2 linked regions of the Stegostoma tigrinum genome follow. The protein of the gene in region 2 interacts with the protein of the main gene of each other region in a pairwise test. Links are inferred from orthologs where the notes say so. Each region holds a gene or a part of one and is shown on either strand. Other genes may lie near its edges.

Evidence for each region. The genes of interacting proteins can lie anywhere in the genome.
Region 1: the proteins of usp13 (region 2) and trim55a interact in a two-hybrid assay, tested with the Homo sapiens proteins (2 studies listed by BioGRID and IntAct). The link is inferred for Stegostoma tigrinum from reciprocal best matches to the Homo sapiens genes USP13 and TRIM55.

What each region holds. Positions count from the first base shown.
Region 1 is NC_081358.1:31,972,651-31,980,180, reverse strand, and holds the start of trim55a (tripartite motif-containing protein 55a), read left to right. Parts: upstream 1-4,454; 5' UTR 4,455-4,555; coding exon 4,556-4,723; intron 4,724-7,530. UniProt on the Homo sapiens protein: E3 ubiquitin ligase that plays an important role in regulating cardiac development and contractility, muscle growth, metabolism, and fiber-type differentiation.
Region 2 is NC_081367.1:37,019,839-37,027,495, forward strand, and holds the start of usp13 (ubiquitin carboxyl-terminal hydrolase 13), read left to right. Parts: upstream 1-4,573; 5' UTR 4,574-4,722; coding exon 4,723-4,833; intron 4,834-7,657. UniProt on the Homo sapiens protein: Deubiquitinase that mediates deubiquitination of target proteins such as BECN1, MITF, SKP2 and USP10 and is involved in various processes such as autophagy, endoplasmic reticulum-associated degradation (ERAD), cell cycle progression or DNA damage response.

The DNA.
Region 1 (7,530 bases), on a different chromosome or scaffold from region 2:
GAGGGGTAGGTCATGCCTTACAAACCTTATTGAGTTTTTTGAGGATGTGACTAGAAAAGTTGATGAGGGTCGAGCTGTGGATGTGGTGTATATGGACTTCAGTAAGGCATTTGATAAGGTTCCCCATGGTAGGCTCATTCAGAAGGTCAGGAGGAATGGGATACAGGGGAACTTAGCTGCTTGGATACAGAATTGGCTGGCCAACAGAAGACAGCGAGTGGTAGTAGAAGGAAAATATTCTGCCTGGAAGTCAGTGGTGAGTGGAGTTCCACAGGGCTCTGTCCTTGGGCCTCTACTGTTTGTAATTTTTATTAATGACTTGGACGAGGGGATTGAAGGATGGGTCAGCAAGTTTGCAGACGACACAAAGGTCGGAGGTGTCGTTGACAGTGTAGAGGGCTGTTGTAGGCTGCAGCGGGACATTGACAGGATGCAGAGATGGGCTGAGAGGTGGCAGATGGAGTTCAACCTGGATAAATGCGAGGTGATGCATTTTGGAAGGTCGAATTTGAAAGCTGAGTACAGGATTAAGGATAGGATTCTTGGCAGCGTGGAGGAACAGAGGGATCTTGGTGTGCAGATACATAGATCCCTTAAAATGGCCACCCAAGTGGACAGGGTTGTTAAGAAAGCATATGGTGTTTTGGCTTTCATTAACAGGGGGATTGAGTTTAAGAGTCGTGAGATCTTGTTGCAGCTCTATAAAACTTTGGTTAGACCGCACTTGGAATACTGCATCCAGTTCTGGGCGCCCTATTATAGGAAAGATGTGGATGCTTTGGAGAGGGTTCAGAGGAGGTTTACCAGGATGCTGCCTGGACTGAAGGGCTTATCTTATGAAGAGAGGTTGACTGAGCTCGGTCTCTTTTCATTGGAGAAAAGGAGGAGGAGAGGGGACCTAATTGAGGTATACAAGATAATGAGAGGCATAGATAGAGTTGATAGCCAGAGACTATTTCCCAGGGCAGAAATGGCTAGCACGAGGGGTCATAGTTTTAAGCTGTTTGGAGGAAAGTATAGAGGGGATGTCAGAGGCAGGTTCTTTACGCAGAGAGTTGTGGGAGCATGGAATGCGTTGCCAGCAGCAGTTGTGGAAGCAAGGTCATTGGGGTCATTTAAGAGACTGCTGGACATGTATATGGTCACAGAAATTTGAGGGTGCATACATGAGGATCAATGGTCGGCACAACATTGTGGGCTGAAGGGCCTGTTCTGTGCTGTTCTATGTTCTATGTTCTATGTTCTAATTGATTCAATCTCTCCTCAGACGTCAGTCCTGCCGCCCCAGGAATCAATTAGGTGAACCTTCACCACACTCTATTCAGGACATTATAGTCTTTGTCAACATAGTTGTCCGGCTTTAGTAACAGAGTAATCCAGCTCATAGAGCCGTAGAGCCATACAGCATGGAAACAGATTCTTCAATCCAACCAGTCAATGCCAACCATAATCCCAAACTAAACTAGCTGTATCTGCCAGCTTCCAGCCCATATCCCTCCAAACCTTTCCTATTCAAGTACTTATCAAAATGTCTTTTAAATGTTATAATTGTACCTGCGTCCACCACTTGATGCTGCTTCACTGTGATGTAGTGCCTCCTGAACTAATCCAGTTTTAATTCTGTTATTTCACCTACAACACCATTCCAAACATTACTCACTGTATGATTAGGCGCTTCCCGACTTTCATGCTGAATTAATATTTTATCAAATTAGTCTCTGTTACAATGTTTCACTTGCTTGGGAAGTTTTCAGATAATTTTCATTTGTGGTCCAATGGCTGTGAGCAGGAAAGGTGCTTCGGTGATAATTATCCACACAGTTTTTCAAAACTTGCTGCTATGCCAATCAAGTCCAGTGAGAGGTGATCGTTCATGATATTATGTTGTGCACATCAAGCATTCTGCCAACATTCTCCAGGATACATTGTTGAGCGCACATTAAACTGATAATGTTTTTGCCAATTTACTATTGACACGCTCCTAATGGCTGGTTAAATGCATTGAATATTATTTTGACCCTCTACACGTCTGCCTGAATGTGTCACATTACACTGATTGTCTGCATGGTAACAATGATTGTGCAGATATGTTGTTAGCCACGATTGGATCTGCAGTATATCACTTCTCATTCAAAACGTTATGATCTGCAGTTGTGCCATAATGAATTGCAGTGACCAAGAAATTTGAGTTCAAAACAGGTTTGAGAACCAAGACAAATTTGGTTTCGGGCCTAATTTGAATAACACTAATGAGCTGCATAGGTTTAAGGTGAGAGGGGAAAGATTTAAAAGAGATCTAAGGCACTTTTTTCACACAGTATGGATGCATGTATGGAATGTGCTGCCAGAGAAAGTGGTACAGGCTGATACAATTACAACTTTTAAGAAGTAGCTGGATGGGTATATGGAAGGGCAAGTTATTGCAGCTGCAATATAAAATGATGTTACATTTGTCAAGTCATGCATAAGCAATTTCAGAAACTGAACACTGATGGAGTATGCCTTTATGGGTAAGGAAATTCATGAGTTTAGTAGAAAATCTTCATTATTAGCTCATTTATTTTGGGATATCTAAATTATGGAGTTAGGTCTCAGGTCAGCCATGATCTCATTCAATGGTGGAACAGGCTTGAGGGGCTGAATGGCCTACTCCTGTCCCTATATAGGATAGGTCATTGATAAAGCAGCTGAAGACGGTTGGTCCTACGATACTGGTTGACAAACATATAGCTCTGCATCGTCACTTCACAGATTGGCTCCTCATTTTTAGGTAGGTGTGGTGCTGCTCCAAGCGGAGCCTGGAGAACATCCAAAAGCAAATTCAAATCAACAGCTGTGTCTCATAAATAGTTCAGAACAAAGCAATGCTTTGAATTTCCACAGTGGCTCAACAATTAATACCACTACTACTTCACAGCTACTGGGGACTTGGGTTCAAGTCTGCTTTTAGGTAGCTGCCTGTGTAGAGTTTGCATGTTCTCCCTGTTTCTGCAAGGGTTTCCTCCCATGGTCCAAAGATGTGCAGGTTAGGTGACATGACCATGCTAAATCAGCCCATAGTGTGTAGGGCAGAGTCATGTGGTGGGATGCTTTTCAGAGGGTTGGTGTGGACCTAATGGGCCAAATGGCCTGCTTTCACACTGTAGCAATTCCTTAAAAAAAGAATTATTTGTCATAGTAAGAATACCCCATGTGTCTGTTTAAAATTGAAATACTTCTTCAAATTTTTAATTTTGTTTCAAACCAACATGCAGATAAGGTAAAAGTTAAAATTGCCATTGCCTTATCAGACCATGGATGGCTTGTGGTTTAACCTGTGGGTCACTGTGCCTTCACATGATGGGAGAGGTCGAGACAGAGAGTCTTTCACAGTAACTTCAGCCCATGCAGGAATTGAACCCACACCTCTGGTATCACTCTGCAATGCAAGCCAGCTAACTGATCCCCCATCCCGTCCCAAATGCATAGAGAATTGAAAAGAAACAAAAACAGCAAAAGCTGAACAAACTCAGCATGTCTGATAGACTCTGTGGAGTGAAAGCAAAGTTAACACTTAAAATCCAGTGACCTTTCTTCAGAAAACTGAAAAAACTGCAAATGTCGAAAATCAGAAACAAAAACAGAAATTGTTCTGGAATTGCTAAGAACTGAGGAAGGGTCTCTTGCCCCAAAATGTTAACTCTGATTTCTCTCCACAATTGTTGTCAGACCAGCTGACTTTTACCAGTAATTTGTTTCTGTTTGTGACCCTTCTTCAGAACTGTTCTCAAGCGCTGAAACATTAACTCTGCATTCTCTCCACAGATGCTGACAGAGTTTCTCCAGCAATTTCTGATTTTGTTTCAGATATTCAGTCTCCACAGATTTTTGTTTTATTTGAATGATGTTAGGAGCTATTTCATCTCTTTATCTGTAAAGCAAAAAGCGACAGTGTGTTCTGTTTCATCACGGAAAAAAATACAAGCCAAGCACAGCATTTCTTTGTTATTTTATGCTTTGACTGGGGTCGAAGTTCGAGAAGGCTTGGACAGAGCTGTCAGGACTGTCAGCAGTCATTGTCATGATCCCAAGCTATTTTAATAAAACACAATTTACATATTGCTGTATTACTATTTTGGGAGCTGTGAATTTGGCAAAAGTTATTCTATTTGATGTTTTTGTTTCAACTTGGTTAAAGAACTTTATTGCTAAATGTCAGTGTCCAGAGAAGTAGCTGTTTTGAGAGTGAGTGCTGACAGGTGTAAATTTGGAGAGAAAGAAGGAGATAGGCAGCAGCTCTGGCAGTCAGTGTCATTTAGTGTCAGTTTCATATAAGGCAATAATGGTGCACTGCAAACATAGCAACAGCTGACATACTGCTGCTAAAAGCATCATCAAACCTACCAATCCAATCCGAGACAATGTCAGACATGCAGAAACAGTAGGATGTGTTCCAATCAACTGGGTCATAGCCTCAGACCAAGCCGGGCAGAAAAAGCAAGAAGAGCAGCTGGGAGGCAGCTTCATTTCTGAACCTAACTTTAATAGTTAGCACTGATCTCGGAAACTTTCGGTCATGACCACTTCCATGGACTACAACCTTTTGGCCAAAGACCGGCAAACCATGGACAACTTGGAAAAGCAACTGATTTGCCCAATCTGTCTAGAAATGTTTTCCAAACCCGTTGTTATTCTCCCATGTCAGCATAACTTGTGCCGGAAGTGTGCGAGTGACATGTTCCAGGTAAGTTAAGAGCCATGTATGGGTCATGTGTGAGAGTGAGAAAGCACAAAGTGAATTCATTTGTAGAGTAGTGATCACAAAGCAAGTTTTGTACTCCTGATCTAAAGGACAGAATGGCCTCCCTCATCAGAAAACAGGTCACGATCATTTACCCCAGCAAGGGCTAGAGTGGCATAAGGTTTTAACTGATATTCTATGCAACATTATTTTCGTTCCACAACTTTTTCTAAGGAATTTTGTGGGAAAATGCCTTTCATGTGAACATAGCTTAAGGAGGTTGTTTTAGAGAAATAGAGTATTAAGCAACGTGCTTGAGCAATTTAGGCCTTTATGGAGACATAGAAACACAAGTAGGCCGTTCAGCCCCTCAAGCCTGTTCCACCAGTCAATGAGTTCCTAACTGATCCTAACTCCATATAAAAACTGACAAAAGGCTGCAGACACTGTAAATCGGAAACAAGCACAGAAATTGCTGGAAAAACTCAGCGGGTCCAGCAGCATCTTTGAAGAGAAATCAGAGTTAATGTTTCAGGTCTGATAATCAGTTCTGAGGAAGGGTCACCAGACCTGAAACAGTACCCCTGATTTCCCTTCTCAGAAGCTGCCAAACCTGCTGGGCTTTTCCAGCAATTGCTGTGTTTGTCCCTAACTCCATATACCTGCCTTTGGCCCATATCTTTAAATACCCTTGTTTAACAAAAGTTTATTTATCTCAGATTTAAAATTAACAAATGATCCAATATCCACTAAAGTTTGCAGATGAGAATTCCAAATATCTACCAACCTTTGCATGTAAAAATGCTTCCTAGCGTCTCTCCTGAATGATTTGGCCCCAACTCTTAGACTATGACCCTAGTTCTAGTATCGCCTATCAATGGGAGTAGTTTATCTTTATCTCCTCTGTCCTTTCCTGTTAATATCTGAAAACTTTGATTAGATCACCCTTTAACTTCTAAATTCTAGAGAAAACAGGTATAATTTATATAATTTCTCCTCATAACTTAATCCCCAAAGTCCAGGTATCATTCTTGGAAACTTACATTGTGCTCCCTCCAAGGTTTAATATATGCTTCCTAAGGAATGAGGCCCAGATCTGCTCACAGAACTCAAAGTGATTTCTTCGGGATCTGTGCTTCAGCCACTTTGCGATTTGGTTATTCGTTATTCCTCAATGTGTCTCGTCTTGTACCTTTCATAAATTTCAGGTCATCGAAAACTCCACTGTCTATGTTCTTATTCAGACTGGTCACCCATTACCCCATACATACTGCTGGCTCCCACTTAAGCAGTATCTTGATTTAAAATTTCTCAGCCTTGATTTCAAATCTCTCCATGCCTTACCTCTCCCCAGTTCTATAATCTGCGGGAAAAAAAATCTGGCTCATTAATTTCTTGTTCAAGGAAGGAAGCTGCCATCCTGACCTGGTACGGTCTACATGTGACTCCAGACCCACAGCTATTTGGTTGTTTTCTGGGCAGCTAGGGATGGGCAAGAAATACGATGGCTTAGGAGGTGATCCTTGCATCCTGTGGATGAATGCAATGTTTCCTGGCCGACAAATTCTGGAATTCTTGCCCTACTTTTGTCTGTTGAAGATGCTTTGTAAACCCTATGTCTCTTTCTCTGATGTTCCCTTACACAGTTCGTTTTGTTACATAACGCACTCTTGAAGGGTCTTGGAATAATTAACATGAAAACATATGACACAGTATTATTGTAAGCTATTTATGTTTTGAAATTGTTTATCCATTTTCCTATGGGTCGATACCACATACTGTACTCTGTCTTACTACACACCACATTCTAAATGCTGATCCAAAGGTTCCTCGGGACATGACCCTAACATTTCGAATGAGACTGAATTTCCTGCCAGAATTCCAGGCTCAGTGGAAGTACAGACTTTATTACACGTTAATCCCTGATACTGTTGACCCAGGCAGACAGAAACCCCATTGCCATTGGGTCAGCAGGCTGACGACCAATCACCATCAGCCTTGTGTGTGATGGCACATGTCCAATTTTTCTGGTGCAGAAGGAGTGGAGTCACATCTATGTCTGGGAGCCCACCCATTGGAAGCTATTTCCTCCCAGTGAAGACTAATAAAATTCAACTATCTGCAATTACTAACTGCCAAAATGATCGAATCCCAAAAGAGCTGATGGGATGAAAACTCTTGGCATGGCATTTCCCTGCCTCACCTATACATCTCAATACAATTTGTCTTAAAAGCAATTTCATCCATTGTGAAGCAAGTTATAGCCCTTTGAAAATGTCAGGCACAGTTGGCCGTTCACTATTGTGGGTGAAGGTTAATTACAGTAACTATGATCAGAAAACAACAAAACCTCTGAGAAACTTTGTCACCACCGTGCAGCCCATGGCATATTTCACTTTACCTCTGAGTTTTATGCAAAACCTATTTCCACCTCCATCATAAGGCTCTGAGACCCTTTCACTTACTCCCAGAAACACCTTCACCCATACAACTGACCTAACCCCAGTCACACCATCGCCCATACAATTCACTCACCCCCAGTCACACCATCCTTATTAGAGGTCACACCCCCAGGGACACCATCCTTGATATGGCTTACAGTACTGCCATCAAACAAACACAGATGTTACATGAAGAATGCTGGGCAGCTGTTTAAATCAACATTATTGCTGTAATTCTCAATATAATTAATATATGCACATTTTTGTGTCACGTTCACTCTCTTTATCTTTTTGTATTTAGTTTTACTGTTATGTACTATTCTATCATAATATAACTACTCTCAGCATGCTTTTCACCTCTACCTCCTG
Region 2 (7,657 bases):
ACCTTCCTCATGTTATATTTTTTCATTCGAGTTTTTGTACATGTGGCATTCACAACTGCCCAATCAATTAAAAACTAGATACAAAAGACCTAATTTGCAGTCAATGGATTCTTACCATTTGTGATGGTCATTTTGTGACTTTTGAGCTGTGAATCATATTGGCAAACTTATTGGACAGCTTTTCCCAGCATTATTTAAATGCAAATATGTAAACTTTATTGAAGTCTTGTTTGTTTTATTGCCAACAGGTTCTCAATTTTTCACTTTTGGAGCTGTTCCTTCCAGATTGCATATTTTGTTTTGTGTTCCTATATAATTCAATTCCATAGTACCTCTTTGCCTCCTAAGCTCTACATTTTCTCTTATTATGCACACCTCTGCTCTCTATGAATTGATGCATATCTCTTTCCTAAATGCAAATATTCCCTTCCCCATGGAGTCTCACTGGTGTTAAGGTTGTTCTTTGTTTCTTTAGTGAAATCATCAACCCCCATGGCAACTTGATTTTACAGTGCATAACAGTGTGTCTCACTGGTTTTCACCATATAGTACAGTGGTATAAAAACAACCTGATAATGACTTTCCCAGATGCTGATAATGATGAAGTAAACAAGTTTGTTTTTATACAGCAGCAATTTCTGTTGTTTATGTATTTAAAATTCATTAATTTTGTAATTGATGCAATATTCAATTGTTCGTTACTCATTGATTAGAATAGCAGCTGAAGCCTTTTATCTTCTATTAAGCAAAATTCGCTTTCCACATCATCATCAGTGTTGATTAACATGAATGAATTGTACAACAGTGCTGTGCATGAAATTGTAAATCTTCTAGAGATTTGCTGCCGCAATGAGGACAATTAAAGTAATATCAATTTGCTACAGTATCAATTTATTTTATTAACACTCCTTGTTCTCTTGTTCTGACTCAGAATGGATTGAAGGTCTACTCTTTCAATTCAAATGATTAGATAATTCAATTATTGCACTGAAAAATAAATTACTTTGACTTATCAGTAGACTGTATCAGAATCTAAATTATATTGAATCAAACATTAGTGTAGTGATTGTAATGAGGTCAGTCAGGAGGACCTCATAGAATATGAGTTCTCTGATTGGGGCTGTTAACCTGGTCCAATCAGGGAACCCTGGATGACAGACAGAAACAAGAGTATCAGAGGTATTGTTCACTTTGAGATCTGGCTCTGAGGAAGTCAACCCAGTGTCAGGTACTGCGCACGTGTAAATAAAGGGGGCTTGGTGAAGGGATACTAGCCTCTGTGGAGTTACTTCAATTAGTTTCTCACTTATAAACTGTACTCGGAATATGTTTCCACATGTATACTGACAACACCCATCTCCATTACATATATCCTCGCTCAGCTCTTTCATGGTTTCTTAATGAACTTCAAGCTAAATAACAGGAATCTCAAAACCATTGTCTTCATTGTCTATTCTTTAGCTACGAAGTCCATCAAAATTTGTACTTTTGACTAAGCTGTACTGCTACTCATAAGTTGGTATCTATATGATTCTAAGTTGAACTACTGATCACATAACCACTGCATCAAAACTGCCGTTTTTTTAAAATTGCTGCAAGGTTCCTCTTACTTCCGTTACCTCAGCTCATCTGCTGTTGAAACTATCATCCATGATTCTGTTATCTCTAGACTTAGTTGTCCCAAGGACTTATGGCTAGCCTCCTACTTTCCAAAAATGTTAGGTTATGTGAATCTCTTGCTGTCTGTATATTATACAAAGTCCTGTTCAACCACAACATTTTGAGTTTGTTGATCATGGTCTGAGAATGCATCAATTTTTAATTTTGCGCCTGTATTTTCAAATTCCTTTAGCGTCTTAGTATTCTCCTACCTGTTCTACAACTCTCTGAGATCTCTGTGCACTTCAATTGCTTTGCTTATCACTGATATTAATCATTCTACCACTGGTGGTTATGCTGTCAATTGCCTAAGACCTTAGGTCTGAAGTTCATTCACTAAACCAATTAGCCTCTTTCTCCATAGGGATGAATCCTAAAAGCAGTTTTTAATCATCCCTTGTACTACTTTCTTATCTGAGTTAGTATCAAGTTTTGTTTTGAAAGTCTTTTATTCCTGTGATGCACTTTGGAACCTTTACCACATTAAAGTACAGCACAGAAATTATATGTAACAGCTGAATCAGAACTGTTTCTGCAGGATTCTTTCTTGCATCCTTTGAAAATATTAAAAGTATTTAATTGATGACACTACCACAAGAATGATTGCTCTGGGCAGTAAATCTGTTTTGCAATCTAGATCTCATGTCAATTGCACATATGGTAAGAAAACAAAATATAAATTATAACCAGCACTTAACTGAATACATTTTATGTGAAAACTACTGGAAGCAGAAATATTATAGAATTTCATGAAAATAATTAAACAGAAGGTGGAGACTCCACAATCATTCCTTTCCTGGTATTTAATATATCTCAGTTGACCAGTGAACACAATGCTGAAATGCTTGCAATTGTCTTCAATGACAAGTGTTGAGCGAACGATGCATTCCAAGCTAAAACTGAAGGTCTCTGTATTGGAGATGCCAGTCTTTAGCCAATTCTATCAATTCTATTTACCCCACGTGATGTCAATGCAACTTCATAGACAAAGCATATGAGCCTTGGAAACATCCTCGCCATAGCACTGATGACTTGCACTTCAGGGCTAACCATACTCATAACTGAATTGTTCTACTAGAGCTAAAACACTGGAATCTAATCAACAAAGTGCAAATTATCCAGGTATGTCCTGTCCACAAAAGCAGGATAAATTCATTCTGATCAGATACCCCATCCCATTGATCTCCTGTCAAACATCAACAAAGTCCAACTCCAGGGGAGAGGCTGTGGAATTTTGAAATCAGTTGCTATATTGAAATATATGAGAGAATGGTAAAGTATGACTTGCCTTTTGCTTTTCTTACCTAAAGTCTAAATCTTGTGAATGATACAAAGAAATATCTTAAAATATCTCTGATTTCCTGAGTGTTCATCCATATTCCCACTTAATGCCATTCAAGGTATTACCTTCTTCAAATACAGATGTACTTAGAGAAAGATTTATTCCCTGCAATCTTAAATGGCTTCTTTACTTTGCAGATTAACCAGCTGTTAAGTCTTTATCTTGTCCTTTTCTTCTGTTTATCACCAAACTGGACAATTTAGATTTGAGGATTGTAAATAATCTGATTAGTCATAAAGTCATAACGCATGGAAACAGACCCTTTGGTCCAACTAGACCACACTGACCATATTCTCAATCTAAACTAGTCCCACTTGCCTGCGTTTGGACCATACCCCTCTAAACCTTTCCTATTCACATACTTATCCAAATGTCTTTTAGATGCTGTAACTGTACCTGCATCCACCACTTCCCCTGGCACTTCAAACCATGTACAAACCACCCTCTGCGTAAAAAGGTTGCCTCTCGTGTCCTTTTTAAAACTTTCTACTCTCACCTTAAAATATGCCCCCCAGTTTTGAACTTCCCACTGTCAGGGAAAGATCCTTGCTATTCACCATACCTTCTTTCATTTTGGTTTGTCCAGAGTATAAATTTACATTATATTTTAACACTGTGCCATTTTTCTATGCTTCATCCCTTGAAAACACAGATTACTCTAATTAACTTCTTCATTACTACATAAGGTATCTCAGCCAGAGTGTTGGGTACATTTCTGGGTGCCACATTATTGATGCATTGTGGAGAGAGTACAGAAGCTGTTTACAAGAACAGTTCCACAGATGAGGAACTTCAGTTAGATTGGAAAGGTTGGGACTATTCTCCCTGGACAAACAAGGCTAACATGAACTCTGACAGCAGTTTACAAAATCATGAGCAGGCTGGATAGAATCGAAAGGAAGAAACTGTTCCCAAATGTAAAAGGAACAAAAACTAAAGGACATAGATTTAAAATGATAAGTGAAAGAAGTAAGGATAATTTTATTTCACTCAATGAGTAATTAGAATCTGAATGCACTGTCTAGAAGTATGGTGGACGCATGTTCAATTGAGGCATTTTGGATAAAAGATAACGTGCAAGAATATGGGGCGGGGTGTGGCGAAGCCGGACATTGGAATTGGGCAATGATGCTCATTTAACCAGCAGGGATAGGTATAATGGGCTGAATGGCTTCCTTCTGCTCTGGGACACTCGTGATTATTTGTTCCGACATCCACCTTCTCAAACCAGTGTTTTCATTGTCGTCTCCTCTATGTTGAGCCCGATTTAGTGGGTCAGAGTGGGGAGTCCAGCCTGACCGGCTGAGAGTTTCCTGCATTTCCTGTCTGTATTTCGGAATTCTGGTACCTTTTCTCTCGTATTCTTCTCTGATGCCGGGTCGGCTGCGCTATCATTTGGCAATAAACTCTTGGAACTCATCTGCAAGGAAGTTGGGCGATTAATTGAGGACCAGCTCGAGGAGATTTGTTGAAACGCTGGTACTTTGCGATTGTTTATTGCCAGCTCTCTCTGTATAAGGTCCCTGTAATCTCCACCAGTGTCCGGGTTTTTTTTAAAGACGAGAGCAGAAGCGTCAGCAGGTCCGATGGCTGGAGGGAGGGCTGCGAGCTTGCACTGGGTTAAAAATAGTGTATCGTCCTGCAGTCTTTGCTCGCCCAGCTTCTGCTCACTTCGCTATCAATGTCTGCCCTGAACAGCATTCTGGGTTAGGAATGTCAACATGGCTGCAGACATCGGAGAACTGCTGGTGCCGTACATGCCAACCATCCGAGTCCCTAGATCAGGGGACAGGGTTTACAAGAGCGAATGCGCCTTCTCCTTTGACTCCCCTGTAAGTAGGCAGGCTGCCCTTTTGGGAGGGGGATCGCGCACACGGAAACTTTCTCGCTGGAAGTTTTCCACTGACACGTGAATGACTGCACAAACTAACGATGCTCCTCTGGATTTAGGAACCTAACTGATAGCGACAGGCTGTCGACAGTGTGGCAGTTCTGGACTTTGTTAAACGAAACAGAGAGAGACCGCAGCAACTCAGCAACCTAATGGGGCCAGAATGTAACAGAAAGCAAACAAAAAGTGTGTGGGGCTTGACATGTCAGTGGGCGTGTGATCCCGATCATTTAAACAGAACTAAGGAGGAAAGTCTTACAAAGCAAAGCGTCAGGAGTCAGCTAGTATTATGATTTGTCAGCTTTATTTGAACGAGTAACGTTCAATTTCAAAAAGCACTTTAAAAGGCAAGTTAAAAGTAAGGGACTTCTTAAATATGTTTTTAAAGAGTTATGGAAAGGAAGAGAATTAAAGTCAAAGGTGAAGGAAGATACTTTTTAAAATAACTTTTTAAAAAACTTTTGAAAATTCAAAAAGATGGCACATAGAAATGCTACTTTTGTTTTATCAAAATTAAATACAAATGTTAAAGTATAGTAAAAGGTGACTCAGCTGTTTGGCGTGCATCAACAGTGCCTGAGACAAGTTATTTATATACGGAGAGTTTGGGGGTCGCGGTATCGTATTTCTTTATTAATACACTGAAGGTTGTGTACTTCTTAGTTTAAAAAAACAATAAATTAATGTATTTACCAATTATTGATTTTGTGGTAGTGGTAATTTCGAAAATATTCTTAGTTAATCCTATGTTTCTTTTATTTGATATGTAATGTGATCACGGTGAAAATATAGAACGTGTGTTGCCCGCCATCAAGTGGTGAACGGGTATATGGAGCGCCTTCCCATCCCGGTGTAAAATCCAAGCCAGACCTTGTCATGGTTTGTTATAGTACTGTTTGAGTAGTTTTTATTTGCTGTTTCCTCTGAAGGCACAGAATTTTTTTTTTCATTATTTGTTCTTAAGACCAAACAAGTAGTCAGGAAAAACCTTCTAACTAGATACAAAAACAGAAATTGGTGGAAAAGCTCAGTAGGTGTGGCAACATCTGCGCAGAGTAACCAGAGTTAATGTTTTGGGCCCAGTAACCCTTCCTCAGAAGTGAGAGGGTGTAAATTTAACTTTAACTTTGTGTAAGTTATAATTCCAACCAACTGAGGGAGATCTGACAAAGGGTCACTGGACTCAAAATGTTAATTCTGATTTCTATCCACAGATGCTGCCAGACCTGCTGAGCTTCTCCTAGTAATTTCTGATTTTACAGCATCCACGGTTCTCACTATTTAGTTAAAAGGAAAACCAAGAGAATATGAAACTTGCTACCACAAAGGAATAGGTTAATGAAATATTGCACATAGATTTGAAAGAATTATTAATTGAGGAAATGTGTAAGTGTTTGGATTATTTAAAGTAGGAGGAAGTTCATACATTAACAATAATAACTTGCAGAAATGAAACTCCTTCAACAAAGTAAAACACCGTAATGTACAGGACAGAAGAGTTATTGAACAAAGTTTGATGCTGAGATATGTAGGGAAATGCTGGAGTAATTAACCAAAGGCATGGCCATGTATTTACAGACTCTCTTATAAAAGGGAGCGAGGCAAAGAAATTTGTGGAGGGAATTCTCAAACTTGGGTCTAGTTGACCAAAGACCTGGTTGTCAATAGCAGGCCAAATCAAAAAATGGAATTTGAGGTGTGTAGAGATCTTTAAAGTTTCATGGATTGCAAATTTAGTAGTTTTCTTTGTGTAAATCCTAATTCCAAGCAAAAAAAAATGCTAAAAAACTGAGGGCAAACTACATGAATTTAATGTATATTCCTGTCTTTACAGTGGGAGCTCATCAATTCTAAACTTTCATTAGATTTGTGTAAAAATCTCTACACCAGAGATAAAATATATTAAGGTTTTTTTTGCCCAAAGTGACCAATTTACACAATTTCGATTATAATATAGTGTAGGAACTTTGTAATGGAAAAACATTGGCACAGAATGTGGCACCAAGAAGTAATGTTTGGAAGATAGTTGATTACTTTGTCATAGAGTCATACAGCACAGAAACAGACCCTTTGGTCCAACCAGTTCGTGACCAGCATATACTCTTATTAAACTAGACCCACCTGGCAATTCCTGGCACATATCCCTCCAAATCTGTCCTATATGTATACCTTTCCAAATGTCCTTTTAAATGTTGTAATTGTCTCCATATCTGCCACTTCAGGATGTTCATTCCACATGCAAACCAACCTCTGTGTTTAAAAAAACAAATGCCTTTCATGTCTTTTTCTAAATAGCTCACCTCCTCTGACCTTAAAAATGTGCCCACTAGTCTTGAAATCCCCTATCTGAGAGTAAAGGCAACTATCGTTAACTCTATGAATGCAATACAGCTCAAGAACAGGCCCTTTAGCCCACCAAGCCTGTGTCGATTCTTATTCCTTATTTAAACCTACTAATTATTGCCCATCGGCAGTTTGAGTCCATCTGTTAGCCTCCCATTCGTATGTCTATCAAGATGCACCTTGAATGTTGCTAATGTGCCTGCTTCCACCACCTCCACTGCTAGTGCATTCCAGGCACCCACCACTTGTGTGAAGATTTTTTCCCGCACTTCTCCCCTAAACTTTCCCCCTCTCATCTTGAACCTGTGCCTTGTTGTTGTTGACTTTTCCATTCTGAGGGAAAAAGCCTATTACTACCTATGACCACCCTATCTATGCCCCTCATAATTTTGTAGAACTCTTACCAGCTCACCCCTCAGCTT